4 linked regions of the Drosophila melanogaster genome follow. The protein of the gene in region 4 purifies or fractionates together with the protein of the main gene of each other region. This does not show direct contact. Each region holds a gene or a part of one and is shown on either strand. Other genes may lie near its edges. The genes, in order: Kap-alpha3, Gfat2, Mcad and wal.

The links.
Region 1: the proteins of wal (region 4) and Kap-alpha3 purify together in Drosophila melanogaster (affinity purification with mass spectrometry, with the first as the bait; one large-scale study listed by BioGRID). This does not show direct contact.
Region 2: the proteins of wal (region 4) and Gfat2 purify together in Drosophila melanogaster (affinity purification with mass spectrometry, with the first as the bait; one large-scale study listed by BioGRID). This does not show direct contact.
Region 3: the proteins of wal (region 4) and Mcad purify together in Drosophila melanogaster (affinity purification with mass spectrometry, with the first as the bait; one large-scale study listed by BioGRID). This does not show direct contact.

The regions. Positions count from the first base shown.
Region 1 is NT_033777.3:9,572,846-9,579,267, forward strand, and holds Kap-alpha3 (karyopherin alpha3), read right to left. Parts: upstream 4,889-6,422; 5' UTR 4,803-4,888; exon of another isoform or gene 4,763-4,802; intron 4,629-4,762; exon of another isoform or gene 4,465-4,628; 5' UTR 4,423-4,464; coding exon 4,363-4,422; intron 4,304-4,362; coding exon 3,923-4,303; intron 3,863-3,922; coding exon 3,032-3,862; intron 2,968-3,031; coding exon 2,791-2,967; intron 2,725-2,790; coding exon 2,629-2,724; 3' UTR 1,639-2,628; downstream 1-1,638. Other genes in the region: CG9399 (uncharacterized protein), read right to left, coding at 404-444, 509-674; Son RNA binding protein, read left to right, coding at 5,335-6,422.
Region 2 is NT_033777.3:28,336,168-28,342,478, forward strand, and holds Gfat2 (Glutamine:fructose-6-phosphate aminotransferase 2), read right to left. Parts: upstream 3,599-6,311; 5' UTR 3,380-3,598; coding exon 1,703-3,379; intron 1,501-1,702; coding exon 1,126-1,500; 3' UTR 852-1,125; downstream 1-851. Other genes in the region: Moca-cyp, read left to right, coding at 4,268-4,571, 5,205-5,292, 6,018-6,047, 6,113-6,252.
Region 3 is NT_037436.4:7,716,582-7,722,325, reverse strand, and holds Mcad (Medium-chain acyl-CoA dehydrogenase), read right to left. Parts: upstream 2,977-5,744; 5' UTR 2,887-2,976; coding exon 2,869-2,886; intron 2,428-2,868; exon of another isoform or gene 2,267-2,427; coding exon 1,910-2,266; exon of another isoform or gene 1,850-1,909; coding exon 965-1,849; 3' UTR 854-964; downstream 1-853. Other genes in the region: CG7457 (uncharacterized protein), read left to right, coding at 1-428.
Region 4 is NT_033778.4:11,687,511-11,693,306, forward strand, and holds wal (walrus), read right to left. Parts: upstream 3,354-5,796; 5' UTR 3,303-3,353; intron 3,235-3,302; 5' UTR 3,210-3,234; coding exon 3,168-3,209; intron 3,077-3,167; coding exon 2,936-3,076; intron 2,379-2,935; coding exon 1,569-2,378; 3' UTR 1,059-1,568; downstream 1-1,058. Other genes in the region: buffy, read left to right, coding at 1-226, 303-449, 510-818, 880-1,047; CG13197 (uncharacterized protein), read left to right, coding at 3,880-3,902, 3,990-4,065, 4,458-4,657, 4,989-5,035.

The sequences.
Region 1 (6,422 bases), on a different chromosome or scaffold from region 4:
TTAGTGCCGCTATGGGAGATCTCAACTGGCTGTTCTTTGTTTTATTTATTTGTGGCTTGATATATGTATGTACATAAGTATGAGGCATCTATATGCCTACTATCGAAACAAACAAACTAACTAAATAAATCAAAAGTTTTTGATTTTTTTGGGAAACTTTTTTTCATAGGGTTCCACAACAGAAGGCAATCCGCTCACGAACACAACCGTATGCGGTTGTTATCAAGCGCAGGTTGCTCGAAATAATCAAATAATTTCATTTAATGGCACCTGCGCTCAGATTTGTCTACCGTCGTTTCGGATTTATGGTGAACTATAGTATGTGTGCGATAATGAAAATCAGCGAAGGTCGTGCGTTGTCCGAGTTATGTAATCCCATCCGTCTGGCTTTCTGTCTACTTACCCATTTGAAGACGGGTGCCCAAAAGAATATCGTCTTGGGACCTGGAATCAAACCGAACCTAAAGATGTGCTCTTTATGTAGCATAGTGGTCTATGTGAGGCTTACCAGCTGGATGCATCCACAGTGGCCGCAGCTTGGCGGGCACAAATTTGTCGGCGGCGCCAATCATCCCGTTGTACAGCTTGGAGTGGATGCCCTTTCCGGCGGAAGGGACGGCCGATGGTGGCGGCGGGGGAACGGGCGGCGGTGGCTGAACGGCTGTGGACGACATTTTGTTGTTGTTGCTATTTGTGCGAAAAAATTCCACGGGTTGCAGTGATGATAATTTATGCGTCCAAACTCGTTGGCTGGCAATCACAAAATAAAATCTACTATGAAACGCTAAACAACAAAAGCCAAAAAGCTTCGTGAGAGAGCGAAAAAGACAAAGAGAGCAAAAGAGAGAGCTAGCACCCACACAGCCGCAAACTCGAACAGCTGAGCGCGCTATTTTCTAACGTGTTTAATTTGACACGTTAAGGAAATACCTATACAATTGTACCTACAACTCGTACTTGACTTTCTAAAAAGTGCAAAAATCATGCATTCATCTTTAGGAACAGGTTTTTGCACGATCACAGGTTCATTAGCTATCGCACAACATCCTTGACCTTGAGGAGAGTGTGCCAATTTCCGCAATTTCCGCAGCAAAATGTTGACGGAAGCAAATGTGTCTGAATCGAATGCATCGCTACCAATACAAGTGCAGCATCTCTATAAATAGCAGGCAAATGCAAGTTTTTTAGGAGTCACGCGACAACAGTGATGCGCCATTTTTCACTAATACAAAAAAATTAATATCTAAATCTTATATTTATTAAATCTCACAGGAAATGACGTATTAAAACACATACAATTACACAATTATAAAAATAATTTTAGCACCGCAACAGCTGGGGTACTACAGCTAGACAATCTGCCATCTCAAATTCTAGTGTTGGTAAACGTTGTCCCGCCTGCATATATAAGTCAAAGTATACTATTTTCGAAAAATTAGGTAAATTTCAGTAAAAGATTTGTACTGCACGAGCTGGAACCACTTTCATAAAGTTAACTTTCATCACAGAATTCGGAATGTCCTATAAATAATTATAGAAGCCCATGTAGATGATGGGTAAGTTACACGTAAATATTCTGAGTAGTTCCAAAAACAACCGCCAGGCGAAACTTTCTTTATATGAAAGAACGAATATGTAAAAGTAAAATGAAGAGCTATTTATTCCCACACTCCTCAAGATTTAAAAGTAAAACATACATCACATCACTCAACTAAATCTAACTGATTTAAAGTATCCTATACTGTATACAGAACACTAGCGAAACTGATGCTTTGCAGATAAGTCATTAATACAATTTGATCCCTCAATTGAGGGAAACGCCCAGTCCCTTCTGTTGCAATCCGAATTCGATTTTCGATCTGATTGTTTACAAATATTTACTCGATCTGTTGCCATGTGAAAGCCGATTTTTCAGCTGCCCTGCCAGGTAGACGGGCAATTGCGCATTAATGGGAAACGTGCTCAAGTGACGCACTAGCTGAAATAAACGCTAATTATTAACAGCTCGGCCGACGGACAACTCGAATGCCTGGTCTTGAAACGCGACACACTTGTTCTTATAAAATTCCGCTTAACTTATCTGCCTGGAAACAAAATGATGAGTTGCCTTTTGCTTTTATCGTTTTCATGTTAGAAATGTATACATATGTAATTTCAATTACAAATCAGAAGCGTAAATATTTAAATAATTTCATATAAATCAAATAGGTCTACATTCTTTTTGAAATCTGTTTCTCATTCCTGTGTTTATATTTTGGATGATCTATAGCAGAGTCGCTTCAATCGGAGAAGTCCTTGCATTGCACATTCACACACCCAAGAGTGTGTGTATGTCTGAATTTTGTAATTTTGTTAACACAGAATTGAGAGAAGCTAAAACGGCTGCAGCGGATTATCCGTTGTGTATCCTCCAGAGTTCCTATTCTCGTCCCTAAAACGAACCCGGCTGTCTAATTGCTGCTGTGTGGTGGACAAAATATAATGCTATTATTATGTGAATTGGTTGACGGCTCGTCGGGCTTGTTCATACACAAGCGATTGTGTACGAATAAACGCCAAATTATGTGGTGTTGCACGTGTTTGGTTTTCACTTCACTGCTACTGCGCGGCTGCTTTCTGATTAAATCGTTAAAAGTTAAATGAGTTCATCGTTAGCCTATCGGCGTGTGGATCGAAATTGTATTGTGCGCCGTCGGAGGTCGGTGCCATGTTAGTCTGTTCGCCCTGTAAAGGATGCATCAAAAACGTTTTAGAATAATAACAAACGGTTGACTTAAACTGTTAGCTCACCTCATCAGTGAAGTATTGATCGATGATCTCATAAGCTAGTTTGTAGATTTCAACGTTTTCGTGGCTCTGCAGACGCTCGATCTTGGCCAGGCCCTCGCATTCCTCAATGCAGTTGGCCACCGCCTCAACATGAGAATCGGCCACTTTTAACATATTGTTCAGACCATCCAAAACAACCTTTAAAAAAAAGGGGAATGTGTTACTCAAAACAAATATGTGAAGAGACGCAAATTATACTTACATTTATAACTTGCGTATCCTGGCATGAAAGGAGGTCACAGAATGGCGGAATGACGCCCTCCTTGATCAAGGTGAAGACCTGTTCGCGGTTGCCGCTAATGGTCAGATTGCTGATGGCCCAGGCAGCCTCCTTCTGTGTCTGGAACTCGCCCTTGCTTAGGTTCTCGATAATTTTGGGCAGGAGACCCACGTTAATAACGGCCTGCACCTGCGATTGATTTCCAGCGGTTATATTGGAAAGGAACCAAACCGCCTCCTTTCGGATCTTCTCCTTGGGATGCGAGAGCAGGCCCGGGAAGTAGGAGAGCGCGTCGTAGTTGAGCACAACCTGTGTCTGCTCATCCGATCCAGTCACAATATTGCCAACAGCCCGCAGTGCGGCTGTCTGTACCTTGACCTCGCTGTTGCCCAGCAGTGGTATCAGCTTGGGTACAACTCCACTTTCAATGACCATCTGGATCTGATCGTTGCCACCGTCAGTCAAATAGCTGATGGCCCAGACCGTGTCCACCAGGATGTTCGTGTCGGTGTGATGAATGAGCACATTGAGTGCGGGCAGGATCTCATGAATGGTGGCTGTCGGGGGAGCCGGATCCTTGTTGCGGCACAAATTCACAATAACCCATGTTACATTGCGCAAGAATGTGATGGGGATGTCTGGCTTGATGAACGACAAAAGTGGCTGCACGACTCCGTGCTTAATGACAAAATCGCGGAGCAAAGGACCATCGCCTATGATGTTGCCCAGGGCCCACACGGCTTGTTCGCAAACATTGGGAGCGGGCGAGTTGAGAAGTTGAAGGAAGAGCGGCACGGCACCGGCGGCAACAACCTATACAGGATTATATTGCATTAAAACAAAGAAAGTGCTGAGAGGGAAAGCTGAACGTACCTCGTTGGTCTGAGCCGATGTGCCAGAGGCAATGTTGGTCAGGGCCCAGGCGGCCTCGAACTGGAGCATTGTGTGATTGTGTTGTTTGAGGCACTCCACCAGGATGGGCAGAATGTCGCTTTGGATCAGATCGTTGATGGGTGGATTCTTGTCCGACGACAGCAGCTTGCGGGCAGCCTGAACAGCGGCCAGTTGCTGTTCCGGCTTGGTGGCGTCTGCGGCTGCCTTTGCCAGCTTCTTCAGGTCAATGGACGAGGACAACTGCTCCTCCTCATCTGTGTTCGAGTCCAAATTGGGCACATTGCGACGCTTGAGAATGGTCTCTTCGCGCTTGTTCTTCCTCAGCTCAACGGTGACTTCATTTCTCCGACGTCGCATTTCCTGCAAATTAATTAATATTATAATGTTTCCCATTTCAGCGGTAACTTCTAACTACTCACATCCTGGTCTTTCCCTTTGTTTTTGAAGTTTTGTAAACGATTTTGCTCCATAGACGTCATTTTGTCTGATTTCCTTGTATAAGGGTTTGCTTTTTCGATTGGCTGTTAAAAAGTGAGTTTTTAAAAACTATTGAATGCGATGTTGGCGACGTACGCCTCCTAGCGTATTCGATGAACAATTAATAATTTGTTTCAATTGCACACCAGCCAATGGGAAAAATTATTCGCACCCACACCAGCGCACATCCACGAAAAAATAACGTAGAATCGACCAACACAGTTGCAGCATAACACGATGGCGCAGGCATTGAAAAAAGGAAATGGCGAAAAAATACATGAAAATTAGCAATGCAACGGGCGAAAAAAGTGTTTCTCTTGGTCCTCGGTAGAGGATACTTACGTTTTTAGCAAGTAAATCGGGTTTCTCCCACGACACATACACTTTCTACGTCTTTTAAAAGTGATAAAATTCTTTCCTTTTTATTAAAATTGCAATCAGTGACAACGACGTGAGTGAAGTTGGCTGCGGTTGGCAATTCGGGACTGCCCACTTATAGGCAGGGTCGATTGAAGCACCAATCGTCAGATCTGAATTTATGTCGACTTATTTTTTAAATTTAGAAATTTTAAGTTTACTCAGTTGGAGTTGTAAGCTTATGAACCAGTTGAACATTATTTAGGAAATATTTCATTTGTCTTAAAAAGCATTATAGCAATTCTTATTATTTAGGTTTTTTCAAGCAGGCGCTTGTCGTGACGGTACTATTACACAACTCTAGCAAAGTATCGATATCTTTGAGCCCTGCGAACTGTAGATACCATTACGAGTGTCATCGCTATTATTGAAACTTCTGTCCAAGCAAGACGTGCAGAAAAACGCTTAATCGCGAACAGCGACAAATTCGCTGATCTGTTGCGGTAATCTATTAGCATGCATAGACACTAGGACGATCCGCGCCCAGCGAGAGAGCAATGACGGAGAACACAGAGAAAGGGGCGAGCGTAGAAACGCCTCAAGTGGCGGGGTCTCAGACAAATCCTCCGGTTCAGGAGCCACTTGCACTGACCAAGATTCCGCCAATTAAGGTAAAGAGCGAACGACCGGACGCAGAGGTGGAGGCCAAACTCCGGGCCATGAATGCCAAGATCAAGGCGGAGATGGTGACTTTGATGCGGAGGAGCAACAGCAATGAACTGGGCAACAATGACGAGTCGGGGGAGAGCGAGAGCTCCGCGTCGGCGGACGACAAGAAGAACATTAAGCCTGTAAAGTCCTCGAACGAGATCCTTGCCGAGCTGTTCGGCGTATTCAATGCCGCTCCACCAGAGGAACTTCTAGACGACAATCTGTTCAAGAAAAAGAAAAAGGTGAAAAAGGAGAAGAAGGATAAGAAGGCCAAGAAAAAGAAGACGACCAAGTCAGATGGCGAATGCAGCGACTCGGAGGCGGAAGGCAAGCACAAGCATAAACGTAAGAAGCACAAACATAAAGACATCAGAGTCAAAGACAAGGAGAAGGATCGGGACCGGGACAAATCTAAGGAGAAAGATCGGGACCGCGTTACGGACAAATCAAAGGAGAAGGATCGGGACAGGGACAGGGATAGGGACAAATCCAAAGATAAGTTTACGGCAGCACAAGCTCCCTCCGAGAAGGAGAAAGAAAAGTCTGAGAGCCGGAAGCGCAGCGCTGTGGAGCCTTCCAGTCATTCCGAAAAGCGCGAACGACATGAAAGGGAGAAGCATCGCGACTGGGAACGAGAAAGGGAACGGGAAAAGGAGCATGAAAGGGAACGCGTCCGCTCCAACAATAGCTTTTACAACGGGCAACGTGAAGCGGATCGCTTGAAAGGATCTGAATCAGCGAGCACAAAGTCACGGCAGGAACAAGATCTCTCCGATATCTCGCTCTCCGATGAGGAGTCGTACCTCCGGGAGAAGGCTTCCAACGGCCGTAGACGGGCGCACAACAGCTTTTATGATGAAAAGGAGGAATTGTCGGTTTCACCCAAGCGTAACGTGCGCGAATCCAACACCAGGAGAAACCGAAAGTCAAGATC
Region 2 (6,311 bases), on a different chromosome or scaffold from region 4:
TTTTGCTTTTGCGGGTTTCCTTGCACACACACTTTCGCACCACTACGCACCTCGAATCACTGCCTCTCGCTCGCACTCACTCACGCGCTGCTGGGCAGAACGTTACGAATATTATTTATCGGGTTTTTTCGCAATTGCACACACACTCGCTGCGTTATTGGTTGCACCGTACTTGCGCCGTTCACTTGTCTTGTCAATTAACCGCAATTAGTCAATTAATTGGAGCATTATACCGCCGAAACGAAAATCAAAATCGGTTACCAGACATGTGGTTCTACGGGTCCAAAAGAAAAAGAGCAGGGTTGTTGTTCAATTCGTTTGCGTTGCGTTGCGATAGATATCGACCGATGTGATAGCTACGGTTAATAGAGATGTCCCAACCGGCTCGCAACTGATTTAATTTATTTAATGTTGTTTTTAAATATGATTTTGAAATATCTTCCAGAAAGAATTACTTTTCGAGAACAAACTTATTTTTTCCCCATTTACCACTTGATTTGAAATTGAAAATAGGACATTCAAATTTATGCGGCTTATCGATTTCACACTACTTAAGTGCTCGGAATATCATTTATTTTTATCAGAATTTATTTTTATTTAGTTTTATCAGAATTAAATATATATGTAATTTTTCTTTTTCTAAAATTTACAACGTGATTAACATAACGTAAGCAATAACGTGACGTGGCCCTCGTTTTTTAAACATTTGAAACAAATGTTTAATGTCAGATAAGCATTTTTTGTAAAGTGAGGTACATATAGATCTTTGTTTGGTTTTTCCCGTTTTCAAACAAATTTACTGGTTAAACATTTTCCAATCCATTTTTAATTGAAAGCAGCAAAACACTTTTAAAGAAAAACTGGAAATAATTATATTTCAATTGCACATTCACAAAAAGTAGTGGGTCCACAACACAAAGGGTCAGTACAGCTACAAATGTAGGGGTTAAACATATGTGGCTTCAGCCAGAAGGAGCACAAATGGGTTAAGGGTTCGGATTTTGATCCGACAAAATACCAGAAAATTTTAACTTAAGTGCTAGGGTTTGTTTTGTTTTTCTCAGGCAGATACTAAAATGGAATTCTTGAGACGGTGCGAGCCAGTTAGCCAGATAGTTGGGGCGCCTACTCCACGGTCACCGACTTGGCCAGGTTCCTGGGGCAGTCCACGTCGCAGCCGCGGAGCACGGCGATGTGGTAGGACAGCAGCTGGAGCGGAATCACCGTGAGCACGCCCTGCAGGCAGTCCACGGTCCTCGGGATCTGCAGCGAACGCGTGGAGAAGGACATGGTCTCGTTGTCGCCCTCCTCGCAGATTAGGATCGGTCTGCCCTTGCGGGACGTCACCTGCTGCAGTGCATTCATGCACTTGGTGTACACCGGATCCCGCAGCACGATCATCAGCACGGGCATCTCCTTGTCCACCAGGGCCAGTGGTCCGTGTTTCAGTTCTCCAGCCAGGATTCCTTCGCTGTGCATGTACGTCAGCTCCTTGACTTTCTGCAATGAGCAAGTTAATTGATTAAATTCAGCTCATGAAGCGTGGGACAAACATAATAATTAATTTAAGTGCACTTGGCAAATAAACAAGTTAAGTGAATTGTTGACATCGGTTATTTTCCATCATTACGTTCCCATGCATGCATTACGATGCATAAATGAGATTCGATTAAATTATAGCTCAAATTATCAAATGGATTACCAGTGCGCCCTCCAAACAGGTGGCGAAGTTGAAGCCCCTGCCCATAATGAGCAGCGACTTGTGCTCGTACAACTCCTTGGCAAGCTGCTGCACCTGCGAGTTCAGCTTGAGGACAGTCCTAATGTGCTCGTCCAGCTGCGATAGGCCATCGATGATCTCCAAGCGGCGCTGTTGCAGCGAGAGACGATCCTCCGACATGACCAAGGCGAACATAACCAGCGAAATGAACTGGGAGGTGTAGGCCTTCGTGGAGGCCACTCCGATCTCGGGTCCAGCGTTGATGTGGACGCCACAGTGCGACTCGCGGCAGATGCTGCTGCCCACCGTGTTGGTAACGCCCACGATGAGCGCTCCTCGCTGCTTGCAGTATCTGAGCGCCATCAGGGTGTCCGCTGTCTCGCCCGATTGGGAGATGAAGAAGCACACGTCGTCCCGGAAAATGGGCGTGTTTCTGTCCAGAAAATCGGAGGCCAGTTCCACCATAACGGGCAGTTCGGTCAGTTCCTCCAGCAGCTGCCTGGTGGCCACCGCACTGTGGTAGGATGTGCCGCACGCAATTAGCATCAAGCGGCGGCAGCGCTTGATCTCCGGTATGTACTCCTTGATGCCACCCAGAACCACGGTCTGCGTATCGAACCTCATCCTGCCGCGCATGGTGTTGACCACGGATTCCGGCTGCTCGAAGATCTCCTTCAGCATAAAGTAGTCGTAGTTGCCCTTCATGATCTGCTGGATCTCCATTTTCAGCGTGATGATCTCGCGGGCGTGCGGATCATCGGATGATTTGTTTAGGCGATGAATGCTGAGCGTGCCATCGCTCTTGACGGCGGCCACGTCGTCATCTTCCAGGTAAATCACCCGATTCGTGTGCTCTATAACAGCCGATGCGTCCGAGGCGAAGAAGTACTCCACTTCCTTGCGCTCCAGCGGTTGAAACTCGGCGTTGCAATCGCCGGGCGGCAATAGTTGATAGGCCTGCTGCTGCGGCTGACCATGTGGCCGATGGGCCTTGGCGTACAGGATGGGTATGTGATCGGTGGCCAGCTTGGTCTTGGCCTTGATGCCCACCAGAAGCGGTGAGCCTCGCCTGGAGGCCACGCACTCGCCCGGGAAGTGCTTCGACTTGAAGGCGATGGCGAAGGCGCCCTCCAGCTGCTGAATGGCCTGCTCCACGAGCTCGCCGAAAGTGTAGCCAGGATGCTGCTGCCACAGGTGGTGTACCAGCTTGGCAATCACCTCCGTGTCCGTGTCGGACTCAAATACATATCCGCGCTTCTCCAGCAGCGTCTTCACATCCTTGTAGTTGGTTATAATGCCATTGTGCACCACCACAAAGCTATTATCCTCATCGGATCGCTGCGGATGCGAGTTGACCTCGGAGGGCACACCGTGGGTGGCCCAGCGCGTGTGTGCTATGCCTATGTGGGTGTCGATGGGCAGCGAGTAGTCCTGGCCGCGACACACCTCCGCCACCGCATCCTCCAGCACCTTCACCTTCCCGGTGCGCTTCACCAGCATTATGGACTGTGCCTCGCCAGAGTTCAGCGCATCGATGGCTATGCCCGTGGAGTCGTAGCCGCGGTACTCCAGCCGCTTCAGTCCCTGCAACAGGAGATCCAGGACCTCCTGTCGCGACTTGGGCGTCAAGTAGTTTAGGTACGCGAATATGCCACACATTCTGAAATGCGATTGCTTTTGCTGAAATTTGCTGGTGATTCGTGGTTTTCCACGTCGCAATGTTAACTTTCCGGTCAGCTGAGGCTGATCTTACACTTCTGAGGCGGCTGCAATGCGATTGTCGTGTTTTTATCGCGACACTGGCTGGAATTTTTTTTGTTTTTCTCTGATAAACCAACCCAATTATTTGCTTTTTCGGCGAAAAGAACACGTCTTCGCCCTGCTCTCCCGCTCGCACGCACACACGCGCCGCTCTTGCGCTCTCGCTCACGCACACAGCTACAGCCACACGCGAGCTGCCATGTAAACATTGGCTTTGTGTGACCGTATTGCAGCCAGGGATGGAACGGTAATTTAATAAATTATTTTTTTACTATGTATTGAATAATATAATAAACTTTTAAAGCTATATACAAAGATGTTAACTGTGTAAATTGTCTGAAAAAGCTTAATATAATATGACCATAAAGGCCAGATCTCATTTCATAGTTGGTTTAAACGACATTCTGTTTTTCCCAAAAATATGAGCATTGAAGATAATATTTTCAACCCATGTTCTAAAGGTTTTGGAAGTTATACCAAAAAGCATAAAATGATTATTGGTTGCTGAGAGTAATCAATGGTGTATTTTGACTATATATAGCTCAAAGTTTACCGTTTATTTGAGCGTACATATGTATGTATTAACAAATTTAAGAAAATATATATATTAAAATTAATATATCGATACCCGAAAATATGCTAAGCATATTGCACATCGATATTTCTAACTGTATGTTTTTGACATCCCTAGTTCTGAGTAGAGCTGGCAACGCCGACATTGTGCAACTCGAAAACGGCGTGAAATACGTATTAAACAGCATTTATTGGCAGAAATCGGCGCATATAATGACGGTAAACAAACGCGACGCGGGTGCCACGCGACCGCGGTGCTTCTTTGACATTTCCCTGGGCGGCCTGGGCATGGGCCGCATTGTCTTCGAGCTCTTCAACGATGTGGCGCCCAAAACGGCCGAAAATTTCCGCGCACTCTGCACGGGCGAAAAGGGATTTGGCCTAATCACCGGCAAGAAGCTGCAGTACAAGGGTGTGATATTCCACCGGGTGGTCAAGGACTTCATGGTCCAGGCGGGCGACTTCTCTGCGGGCAACGGCACCGGCGGCGAGTCCATCTACGGCGGGACGTTCGAGGGTGAGTTCTTCCGGCTTCCGATTCGATGCCTGCATGCATACATACACGCTTGTGTGTGTGTGCTGCTGTTTGTGTGGGAAAAAATCAATACAGTGGTTATCTGATAAGAAGAACAGAAAACGAAAGGGAATATACAGGGTACTTAAAGTGCAATTAATAAAGAGTCAGTAGGGGGAGAAATGTAATAAAAACACTGTAAATACAGACACCCACATTTGGAGATTTAAAAACTTCCAGCCAATTACATCTAAACTGCACTACAATAATCTACTTAAGTTTAATCTTTGTCGAAAAAAATTAAAACGCTTTTGATATGCCAGCCAAAGTGTACAAATGCCCCATTTAAATGTCAAAAATAAATGTTTACTCAAGCGACTCAATTTAAATTTACATTTTGGCAAATATTTCCATTAGAAAGATAAGGGAATGGTGCACATCATACATCTACATATTGCTAATTATACGTTTGGGTGGAAAATGGGACAAATATGCAAATAGAAGCGGCTTTGGGAAATCCAATTACATGCGCATTAAAAAGTTATCTAGAAGATAACTTGAGTTGCTCATCTCTCTTGGGCTTTAAAGTAACATTTAAAGTGAATTTGGTTTAAACAATCCGATTCCTCTTTCCAGATGAGAGCTTCGAAAAGAAGCACGATCGTCCCTTCCTGCTGTCGATGGCCAACCGGGGCAAGAACACAAATGGCTCGCAGTTCTTTATGTAAGTGCTCTCGACGGAGGACCGTAACCGGCTGGTCCGGACTAACGTGGCCGTAAATTTAGTTTCAGTTCTGTTTCAGGCACCGATATTACAGCTAAACTCTCTTCGTCTTCTTTTTGATCTATACTTAAACCACTGTTGTTGTTCATTAATCTATTGCCATTTAGCCTTAGCCCGTGGGCGTTAAAGTGTGAGCTAGCGTCCCACTGACCAGCGGACAGATGCATCGCAATCTGTCCTCCATCGGCCGATGCACCGCCATCCCAGCATCCCTAGTGCATTTGGTCTGTGGGTCCAAAAACCAAGCGAAAGACGATGCAGGTCTTTCAGCTCCATGGTCTTTGGTCCCTGGGCCTGGGTCTCAGTGTGTGTCTCAATCTCTCTCTCTCTCGCTGTCGGCTCCTTGTGGATCTTTGCGGGAATCTTGGGCTGGATCCTCACGATGGATCTGCCAGATGACAATGTGCTGGCCATGGCCAGCGGCAGCGGCTCTTGCGGTTGGTGGCTTGCCAAAATCCTGTGTGCCACCTCTGCCTACACACCTAGAAACCTTTAAACTTTGTTGCACATGACATTGTCTCCGCCACAACCGACAACAATAACAACAACAACAACTGAAACAACAACAACAACACCGATTTCAACTACAACTGCCTACTGCAGCCCAACAACCAGTTAGCCAAAGTGTAAAGAATATTTTTCTCTTCTTCTGTTTCTCATTGTAGTACAACACAGCCTGCGCCACATTTGGACAAGTAAGTTAGCTTTGAACACGTTAAGTAGATCAACAGATTAATAGCGTCATATTTTCTCGTTGCAGTATCCATGTTGTATTCGGCCAAGTTATATCCGGTCAGGAGTTGGTGCGCCAATTGGAGGGCTTGCCTGTCGATCGGAACTCACGCCCGCTGCAGGATGCAGCCATTGCCAACTGCGGTGAACTAGTTAGACAGACAAAGGGTACGACTGTAATCCATTTTCGCATATCCATTATACTTGACATGCTTCTCGTCACATAG
Region 3 (5,744 bases), on a different chromosome or scaffold from region 4:
GAGTGCAGCTCGCTGGCTGCGGCTTGAACGATGCGCATATGTACAATATCAGCCAGCATTTGGCCAAAGCCAAACAACTACAGATGTTGGATATCAGTGATAATAGCAATTTAAGTGGAACTACTCTTGGATACATATTAGATGAACTACCTCAATTACGCGATCTTTTGGCCGTTAATTGTACAAATCTACTGGATGACATTCGTCTGCAAAAACTCGAACAACTAAAGCAGCTGCCCAGGCGCTTAGAATTAACAGTTGATGAGCAGGTGTTCTCCATGCCAGGAGCCCTGGAAACACTTCAGTCCATTTGGCAGCTGCAATTTGGAGACAAGGCCAAAATGTTGACCACATCAAATAGCCGGAAAATTGGAAGGCGGTACAAAGGTCTACTTAAGCTACTCGCTGATGGAAGCGATGCGGAATAGTGTAGTCTCATCATGTGTAAACCATTTCCTTGTGTTGTATGTCCCAGAGCATTTTTTATTGTTTGACAATTATATAGCAAATCTAAGTACAGTAAGTCTTATCGTTCAGTTGATAGCAGAACAGCGATTCGTTGAACCTAAGTAGAACAAACACTCAGCCCCCACAGGGCTTATCTTATCAATGGATGATAGCTAGCGAAATAATTTGCGATGGTCTAGACTCTACAATTTTGGGGGTAAGTGAGGGCAAGATTAGAGAAACTTGAAATATTAAGAATTAGTAAACATACTAACGCACTGACTGTTTGCTTACTTCTTCCTTCCTTTTATACACTTGAGGAATAAGTAATTCCTTAGAAATTACCAAGTGCCATTTATACAACATTTCCCTCAACAGACAAATCACAATCAATGATTTATATTTTCTTGTAATTATTTACTTATTGTACTTTATTAATCGGATTTGTGAATGTGTCTACAATGAGCATGACAACTGATGAGGTGAATGGAGATGAGGAATCCTAGTTAAAACTGACTTAGGCTTGACCCTTAGCAGCCTCGTACATGTTTCGGGAAATGATGAGGCGCTGGATCTGAGAAGTACCTTCGTAGATTTGGTAGATCTTGGCATCACGCATCAGCTTCTCCACGGGATACTCGCTGTTGAAGCCGTTGCCTCCAAAGATCTGGACGGCATCGGAGGCAATCTTGTTGGCCATATCGGCGGCATGGCACTTGGCAATGGAGGCATAGTAGCTGTTGCGGCGTCCCTGGTCGATTTCCCAGGCGGAGAGACGCCACGCCAGACGGGATGTCTCCACACCGATGGCCATATCAGCCAGCATGAACTGCACAGCCTGGTGGTAAGCGATGGGCACGCCAAAGGTCTTGCGTTCCAGCGCGTATTTAAGAGCCTCATCCAAGCAACGCTGGGCCAAACCCACAGCTCCGGCAGCAACTGGAGGACGCGTCTTATCAAAGGTGCCCATGGCAATTTTGAAACCGGCACCCTCGCCAATCAGCACATTTTCCTTGGGCACGCGCACATCCTCGAAGGTGATGCCACGCGTGTCGGAGGCGCGCTGTCCCATGTTCAACTCCTTGCGGCCGGGCGTTAGTCCGGGACTGTCGCGCTCCACAATGAACCCGGTGAAGGCCTTGCTGGGCGGGCACTTGGGATCCGGATTGGTGCGGGCCAGCACAAAGTACCAGTTCGCCACACCACCGTTGGTGATCCACATCTTCTGGCCGTTGATTACCCACTCATCACCCTTCTTCTCGGCGCGTGTCTTGATGCCGGACACATCGGATCCTGCTCCGGGCTCTGTAACACAATAGGCGGCGACAAGTGGCTCCTCCAGCAGGCGGCCCAGGTACTTTTTCTTCTGTTCCTTGTTACCGGACAGGATCACAGGAGTTTGCTATGAAAGAACGTGGCGTTTCGATCATCTTGCCGTAAATAGACATGACTTTAAACTTACGCCCAGACCACTAGCCTCTAAGGCGGTCATGATGCCAGTGCAGCCATAGGCCAACTCCTCGGCCGACAAGCAGGTGGTGAACACATCGAGATCCAGGCCACCAATATCAGCAGGAATGTGGTTGTTCATCAGGCCCAGTTCCCAGGCCTTCTTGATGATGGGCCACGGGTACTCGCCGCTCTTGTCGTACTGGGCGGCCACCGGGATGATCTCCTCACGGGTGAACTTACGTGCCAGTTCCTGCAGCTGCAGCTGATCCTCGGTGAGTGCGAAAGAGGTGCCATTGGGCGAAACGTGTGACACGGCGGCGTAGGCGCGACTTTGGGACACCAACTGGCGCAGGGCAGGCGCAGCAAGCTGGATTTTCGGATATTGGATATCGGATTTAAAGTCAACTGGTAAACAAGTGTTTATCGAAATGCAAAATGAAAATGTAGAAATAATCAGAACAACAACAAAGTTGACCGCGAATTAATCTTAACTACAAGCAACAAATAAAATGGGCCAACTACGTATGTATTTAATTAATACAACATCATGATCATAGACGAAGGTTTTTTTTATATTTACAAGGGACTTTGGATGTTTGAGGTTCATAACCAACCATCACATTCTATTTTTTTCATAAAACAGATAACGAATATGCCTGCCCATAAAGTTTGCATTCCGATTTAAATAGAGTGCACGATAAGCCGCCATTAGACGCCGCTAATAATACTTTCTCAGGGGGGGCAAAGTACAGATGATTGCTAACAGATAGGCAGCAACAAATTGTTTTCGAAACGGAACCCACTCGAATATATGTTTGTTGGTAGGTACATATGTATATGTATGTATGATCCTACGATCAACAGTTGCTGTCGTCACTAGCGTGATAGAACTTTGGACCTTTGGATATGATATGTCCCAGCGATGTGTTTTTCACTTTCTCTGCGTTGTAAATTGACTGATATGCTCACCTTGTTGAGGAACGCCATTTGAATGTGGGTTTATTTTCGTATTTTCCTGAGTTTTAACTAGGTCGCCTTGCTAACTCGTCGGTGGCTGCCAGCGAAATGATCCAAACGAGTTGCCGATGCGCCGGTATAGCGATGTTATATATGTACATACATATGTACATTGGTTCATCGCGATATGGCAGCGACGCTTGGACATTGGACCTTGTTGCGCTGGCAGTCGCAAAAGCTACAGAATCGTGGTGACGAACGAACTACAAGCATATGCACCTACAAATATATGCAGGAGGTTGAGATAAGGGAAGATTTCGCAGACATTTGTATGCGCTGTTGATGGAACTTTCCCAAAGCTTTTCGAAGAGTTAACAAATTTGTTTGTACCTCGCCTTAATTGTAATATAATGCTTATATAAATAAATTGTATTGTAAAATATTTTTAAAATACCAACTGTACATTTCATCCAGGTTTTGTCAAGTACATAGGCATATGTGTATGAAGAGACACACCCCCTTTTTTAAGATATCAATGTACCACACGAAATACCCTACGAAATAAGCTTAATAAAACATAGCTTTAACGTAATGCCCAGCAATCTACGTAAGGTAAAAGCTTTCAGTTCACAACGTAACGTATTGCTTCTGGGCAATAGGTATAAAATAATACAATCGGGTATATTAGGCTTGAAAATGTTCGTCGGCAGAGGTCATTGAGGGATAATTCATATTAAATAGTAATATACTATATTTTGGTTAGTTTAGAATAAAATGTAGAGACAATTAGATAATTATAGGTTTCATTCGCTTTAACTTTTTAACCCCATTTTTCCATATTCAAAACATTTAAAACATGATTTGATATGTTAAATAATAAAATAAGAACCAACAGGATAGTCCCTAGTCGTTAGACTTCGCTGCCACCTGTTAGGTGCTTAACAATCGGAGCATACTTTCCCGCTTGACACAAATAGACGGAACATGTTCCTCTGGCTGTTTTAAAAATAACAGATTGCAGCCCCGCCTCCCAGCGACAAAAAAATCTCCAGCGAAACGAATTGGAAATCCGTGACACAGTTGACAGGCAGATATAAAAAACAGAGCACTACGTGGCGCGGCACGAAGACATCATTAAATCAGCATCCGCAGCCATCCAAAGTCGTAATCAGCCGTTGAAGCGAGTGGTATCTCTTATCAGCCAGGCCAGGCGCATAAAACTGGGTCCGGTTAAAGCTCTTCCGCCACGACGAGGACGAACGCGCACAGCCGAGCTGGAGCCGAAGTGGTTCGGGTGGTGCGATGGCGGGTGGCGAGTCCTGTGGCGTCTAAGGCCCAACTGGGATAGCTGCTCCTAGTCAGTCATTTGACATTGCTCCTGCGAGAAGGTTGTCCACGGTCCGAGCCCAAATCCTCCGTCGCCCACAACTCGTCCGCAAGCCAGCCGTAGTGTGTGTTTTTTTGTGCTACCCACTCCCACTTTTGGGATACATATAAAAGTGCCACCCCCGCCTTCCCAAAAAAAAAAACCGCCTCATAGAGGAGTGAAATTTTAAACAAGTGTTACCTAAGCCCAAACCTCAAAGAAACCACAACAAAAAGGGAGCAGTAGTTGAAGGTTGCGGCAAAATGGCCCAGTTTGTGACCCACATCCAGCCAACGCTGATGGAGGCGTCCCAAGGTCATGTTCCTCACCACCACGGACATCAGGTGGGTGTGCAGCACTCGTCGCATCTGCCCCACAGCGGCCACAACATGCCCTCGCCGCCAACCCACAATCACCATCATGCCCACGGACATGGTCATCATACCAGCAGCGGTGGTCATCATGGAGGAGCAGGTGGCCATTCACAGAAGCAGGCAGCGCATCATAGCACCACCTCCGGCCACGCCGCCAAGGGACAGCACCACAGCCCACCGTCGAGGATCCATTCACCGCCAACGGAACACCATCCGGATCATGTCGGTCACTACGAGTACTTCCAGCATCAGCACGAGCAGATCTTCCACCATGAAGGAGCAAACGGTGGTGCCAGCCACAAGCAACAGACCCACCACCATCCCAACAAGCACGAGCACTGCCCCACAGGACACCAGAGTGCGGTGAGTTGTCCTGCCTAGGATTACATCATTGGATTGGGATCTGGGGAATGGGTTGGTTCCCTTTAATACAGATGGTCACGTGATCAGAACTCCAGGGGACAAAGTTAGAGGTCACACCCAATTGCCTAAGGAGTGGGTTGCAGTCCATAAAGTTTAAATGACTTTAACAAGTTTTCACAATCCTACGATATCCATGTTTATCCACTTAAAGGTTTAAAGCTGTAAGTCAGCCAACGTTGGGTATGTATCTGTTGGGTTATAATTAGGCCTGGCATATCCCTTTTTCATCTTCTAGAAAGTACATGCTGAAGTACATTTTAAGGTCACATATCAACTGGTTAAAGTAACTTAAGTTTTTAATTCAATTTGATATCAAAGGACTTTTAGTTTTTCTATGGGATGTATCATCCTTTCTTCACTTAACTACCGAATACAATAACGTATAATCACGATAACCCCGTGTCAACTCTTGGTCAATTTGGCCATGATAACATCTTTAAGCTTTACCCAACAGTTGGATTCCCATATGAATCATCCCTGAAAGTGACAATGAATCACAACTTTTCGGGCCATAATCGCGACCATAATCTTGGAGCAAAAGTGTAACACATCTCATGCCATCCCAGCAGTGACGCAATAGTAATCCTTGGACCGACTGTGTCCAATGCCAAGTGAGTCATCGGCAGTGCGCTTCCGTTGTCCTTGCGGGGGCATTAACAACTCCTGCTGACGCCTGGCGCGTCTAGTGGGCCATCAAATCTTTGGGACTCCTCTGACGCTGGCCA
Region 4 (5,796 bases):
TCCGATGGCCACCACACAAAGTGAGCGCCTCTTGCAGGCCCAGAATCGAAGAAAGTTCAGTTTTCCAGCCACACTACATTCCGCATCACTACTGGAGGTTGGTGGTGGTCCCAAGGAGACCACGAGGCGTAGGTTGAGTAATGTCAGCGATGCCGTCACCAGGAAACTCTCCTACACGATTGGCTGGAAGGCGGCACAGATTCCAGCGCAGGATATCATTTCTCAGGTGAGCTGGTAGACGAGGAATTCCTTGCACAAACATATAATATCGCCTGATTCCAAAAATCATAAAAAAACCGAAGGGTCGTTGCCTGTGCGGTCATTATATCAAGAGACGCCTCAGAAGATCTGGTTTGTTCAACAAAAAGCTGGGACTGCAGCGCATACGTAGCATACTGGGCTCCACCTCCATGGGCATTGTGCGCGATGTGTTTCCAGCGGTCCAAGTGGTAAGCAAAAAATAACGCTTTATTTTATTATATTAATCATTTTACACACCTTTGCCCAAGCTGGGCGATGAACTGGAGCGCATGCATCCCCGGATATACAACGGAGTAGCTCGTCAGATTTGCCGGAATCCGGGTGGTGAGTTCCATACTCCGGATGCTGTGAGCTTGCTTTTGGGAGCCGTTGGTCGCGAGCTCTTCCGGGTGGAGATTACGTGGAGCAAGGTGATCTCTCTGTTCGCCATCGCCGGTGGGCTGTCCGTTGATTGTGTACGCCAAGGACATCCGGAATACTTGCCCAAGTTGATGGAGAGCGTTTCCGAGGTGATCGAAGATGAGCTGGTTCCGTGGATTAACGAGAATGGTGGTTGGGTGAGTTTCTCCGATCATTTCATAATTGTCGAGGTTTCATTTCAATGATTTTCCATTTTAGAGTGGCATCAACACACACGTTTTACCCACTACCAACAGCCTGAATCCTTTAGAGTGGACCACTTTGGTTATAGGCGTAGTTTTTGGCCTAATTCTAGTTTTTATGATTCTGCGATTTATATTTAACTTGATTGTACCAAAAATATACCAACGATTTACGAATTCCTAAACATTTTGTTTATTAAGCGTAAAAATCCTATTGATTTGATCTATAATCTTTTTTTGTACACAGTTTTCACATTTTCACACTTTTTAAAAAAGTTCGCAATTGGCGAGAAAGCTTTTTGATGCTTTTAGCTACAATTTGTTTTGGCTTGATCAGCTTTCTAGTATAACTAATTTAATTAATAAAGCTCTCATAAAAGCTTCTTGAAAAATAAATATACGATGGGAAACTGATAAGGAAACCAAATCCTAGACTAGGTGCAATCTGCAATGCCAGTAAACAGTTTATCCTAGTTGAATTTTGGTTATTGCTAGCCCTGGGCCTTTTTTAAATATTTTGCTGATTTAAACAGTTGCACTCAACTGATAAGACTACAATTTTCACATAGAATAGGTCTTCGGCTTGTTTTATTACAAAATTTAAGGGAAAATCTTCCACGGACTTATGTCAAAATTCAAATAAATGCAACAGTTATCAATTCATCGGTACACAATCTTTATACTACAGCAAGTGACAATCTCGCCTTACAACTTTCCGGTTAGTTCGGGCACGGCCTTGAAAAGATCTGCCACGATGCCAATATCGGCGACCTGGAAGATGGGCGCTTCGGGATCCTTGTTGATGGCCACAATCGTCTTGGAGTCCTTCATGCCAGCCAAGTGCTGGATGGCGCCTGAGATTCCGACAGCGATGTACAGCTCGGGAGCCACAATCTTGCCGGTCTGACCGATCTGCAGATCATTGGGCACAAATCCAGCATCCACGGCAGCACGAGAGGCACCCACAGCGGCACCAAACTTATCGGCCAGATCATACAGCAGCTTGAAGTTATCTCCGGACTTCAGGCCCCGTCCTCCGGACACAATAACCTTGGCTCCGGCCAGCTCGGGGCGATCGGACTTGGTCAGCTCCTGGGATACAAATTCGGACAGGCTGCTGGCGAAGTCACCAGCTGGTGCCTGCTCCACGGCTCCACTTCCACCGCTGGTGGCTGCCGGTGGGAAATTGGTGCTCCTTACGGTGATCACCTTAACGGCGTCCTTGGATTTCAGGGTGAGGATAGCATTTCCGGCGTAGATAGTGCGCACAAAGGTGTCGTCCGACTTAACATCGATGATCTCCGAAATGGGCGACACATCCAGCTTGGCCGCCACGCGTGGCAGCACGTTTTTGCCGAAAGCCGAAGCTCCGGCCAGGATGTGGGTGAACTTGAACTGAGACTGGGCGGCCAGGACCAATGGGGTCAGCGACTCCGCGGTAAATCCGTTGAAGGCGGCATTTTCGGCCACCAGAACCTTGGTCACGCCATCCACCTTGGAAAGAGCCTCGGAAGCCTGGAAAACAAGAGAGTGATTATGTAAGATTATCTATCGCACCAAATACTTATGATCAGTGGGAGTCGCTCTTGGGTGGTTCGATGCTTTATAATTTAAATGTCTTGGTATTTTAAAATGGTCATCTATTGAAATCACTTTGCTCGGCATTTTTGAAATATGGTTACTATATATTGTATCTAAGTAAGGGTTCACCAATCCAAAATCAAAACATTTTTTTCTAAATTTTTAGTTAGTTTTAATCTAGTATGAAAATTGGAAAACTGGAATGTAGCAAGAGTTAAGTGGAAAATAGATTGGACCCTTTTTAAAGTGTACTTATAGTCAGAAGTATATAATCAAGGTTAACAATTCCTATCTCTTAGATGCAGTATTACCAACAACTCAAAAGTCTTGTTTTCTAATGAGATATGTTTATATAATCCTGTGCCGGTTTGATTTCTACCAGATCGCAAAGGTCTTAGGATGCATGTTCAGCCTATTTGATTAGATTCGTTGATGATTCGAAATCCCTGCGAATGGAACCACCCTAATGTGAGACTTCTTGGGGGACTTACGGGTCCGCATTTTGTGCCTGCCACCAGAACTGTGACGTCACCACCGATCTTCTTGGCCGCAGAGATGGTGTTCAGGGTGATCGGATTGAGTACCTCATTGTTGTGCTCAGCCACCACCAAAGTGCTCTTGCATCGCTGCAACTGCAAGTGGGAAAATTGATATTTTGTTATTTAATTTTTAGCGATCACCGCCTGCGCTTTTTTTTTATCTTTTTAAGAAATTTCCACTCACAATGCTGCTGCGCATAAGATTACGCGTGTTGCTGGCGAACATTTTGGATGTTGGATGGTTATTGGAGCTATCCACGCGAGGGAAAATTGTTGTTTGATTAATTTAAGTCCATTAATATTTAATTAAAACTCTTACCTTCGCTGTAAAATCACAGAAAGTCCAAAGGTTTCCGCTGATTTAAGCGTTTGCCGTTTTTTGGTACCTCCTAGCCAATACACAACAGCTGTTACTTAACAGATGGAGCAACAGATCTATGTGAACTTTAAGCAGCAGGAACTTAAGTGAAAAAATGAACATATATAAAATATAATCTTGGAATTATTGATTAATGGACTTATTTAATTTAATTTTATTATCCATTTAAAAAAATATGCAAGCCGATTAATATTACTAGTCATAAATTTGTAAAAGAGCTTAATGAAGAATGAAGTATTAAAAAAATTACATTTATTATTAAATAGAAACATTAAATATAGATTATAAATGTTATTACTTCAGTTAAAGAGCGAATGAGCGAGAGTTTTAAAAATAATCGTGACCAGTCACAGTTTAGCTAACAGTGTCAACTCAGCAGCATATGTTGAGTAATCTCTTAAAGTAATCTGGCAACACTGGAATAAGAATTATTTCTTTGCAAAACATTGTCAACAATTTTGAAGAACTTCGAAATTTTATTTTTAAATTTCGGTAAAAGGTTTGGCGAACAGACAAAATGGTCAAGGACATACCAGACAGGTGAGTGCAGTTTAGGAGAATATCCCAAAGAAACCCGTGTTGTTTATGCTGGTCATTTTTTCATGTTACTTTTTGTACCAATTGCAGATGGCTGAAGTACAAACCGATTGGAGATCGTGTTCCTGGCACTCGTTTCATAGCCTTTAAGGTGCCGCTGAATCAGGTGAGTTCCCGATGATCCTCCGCCCGCCCAGTGGCGTACCACACTCCATCCGAGATCCAAGAAACCGGTTGACAGGAGAGCCGCCAATTGATGGATGTTGAAAACCCAGGATCTGGACCACCGACTGAGCGGCCCTCTAAAAATATAAATAACAACGAACGACGACGAAATTTGTGCATTGTAATTATGCATAAAAGTGGCAACTGGAACATGGACCCCACATGAATATTAAATTAAATTGTTTTTGCTTAATTAAATAACGCCACGGATCCACGGCCTTTATTAATTGCCAGCCCTCCGGGCATTTTGCATAAATTGAGCAATCTATGGCCGCCCATTGTAATGCCCTCGTATATTTGCTCAGCTCCCTTCTTTTTTTTTATCTTTTGCAGCATGTCAACGCCAAAGTGAAGGAGAATCTTCGGCTGGCGCCCGAATCCCTTCTGCAGATCGTACCCGATATGGGTCTCATCATCGATTTGACCAACACGAATCGATACTACCACCCAAGTGCCATAACCAACCACGATGTGCTCCACCAGAAGCTGATGATCCCCGGAAAACAGACACCCTCGCATAAGCTAGCCCAAAGGTAATTATGAATTTAAGCAACTATTAATAGGAAAATTTATTAGCTCTGGTTCGAAAATGTTGTAATTTTGGAACATGGTTTGGATAAGTCTTCATCTTCTTATTATAAGAACTATATTGTAGGCAATGTTCCTAATAATTACAATATTAATAATATTATTAATATCGTTAGTTGGATCGTTTTAATGCTCGCATAAATGTGGTTTTGCAATATGCATTATTTTAATTTTGCTTTGTTTTTGGAATGAAATGAAAAGAAATTCTAATTTGTTATTCAATCCAAGATATTACCAATTCATGTAATGATCCATCTCTTTCCTATGTCATTGCAGATTCTGTGCTTTCGTGACTGACTTCCTTGAAAGGAACGCGGATAATGGTGAGTGCTGACAATTCATCCCACACATCATGATCTTTGGGCGCACGCTGCCGTGGGAAACGCTTTCCCGTCGACAATGCAGATTCAGATGCATATCTGTCCACGCAATTAGGTCCGCAAAATATGCAAACAAATCGTATCAAAGGGGGCACCCGCAATTACCACGTATCCTAATCCCTGGCTGCACTGCCTCCAAAGATTCCTATCAGCCGGCAAGCACACAGCAAACATGGCCAAAGCGGTGAAATGTGCTCACAGCCAAGTGCCTCAAAAAAGAGAAATACTCTATTTAACCCTTTAACAGCCAGTTGGCGCACCGATGTGGGCGCGCACACACTCAATCAGTCAGCCAGCCAGTCAGCCAGTCAGTTTTTTTGGCCTTTGAGTTGAGCCCGAGCTTGAGGCTGTCTGCCAGTCGGGAGCCGGGCAAACAAATCACTTACGGAGCACGGAGCTTAGTCATGCCGTGAGTGGGGAAAAGGCATTTCCAATTATGCACAAAGGTATGCGAGGCCATCGGCAAGCATCTATTCATTTATATGTCTAAAATTCCAATGCATAAATGCAGAGAAGAAACTGGATCTTAAAGTTCATAGTATCAAGGTTCATCTAAGAAAACTCTGAAATTATGAAAATATCCATTTTAATTATGCTAAAGTTCCTAGGGTATCCAATCGTCTGCGTGCTGCACATTCCTTCGATAAAGTGGGCGCGTATAAAACCTATGCTTCTCAGGCACTTTCATCTTGCGCTAATGTATG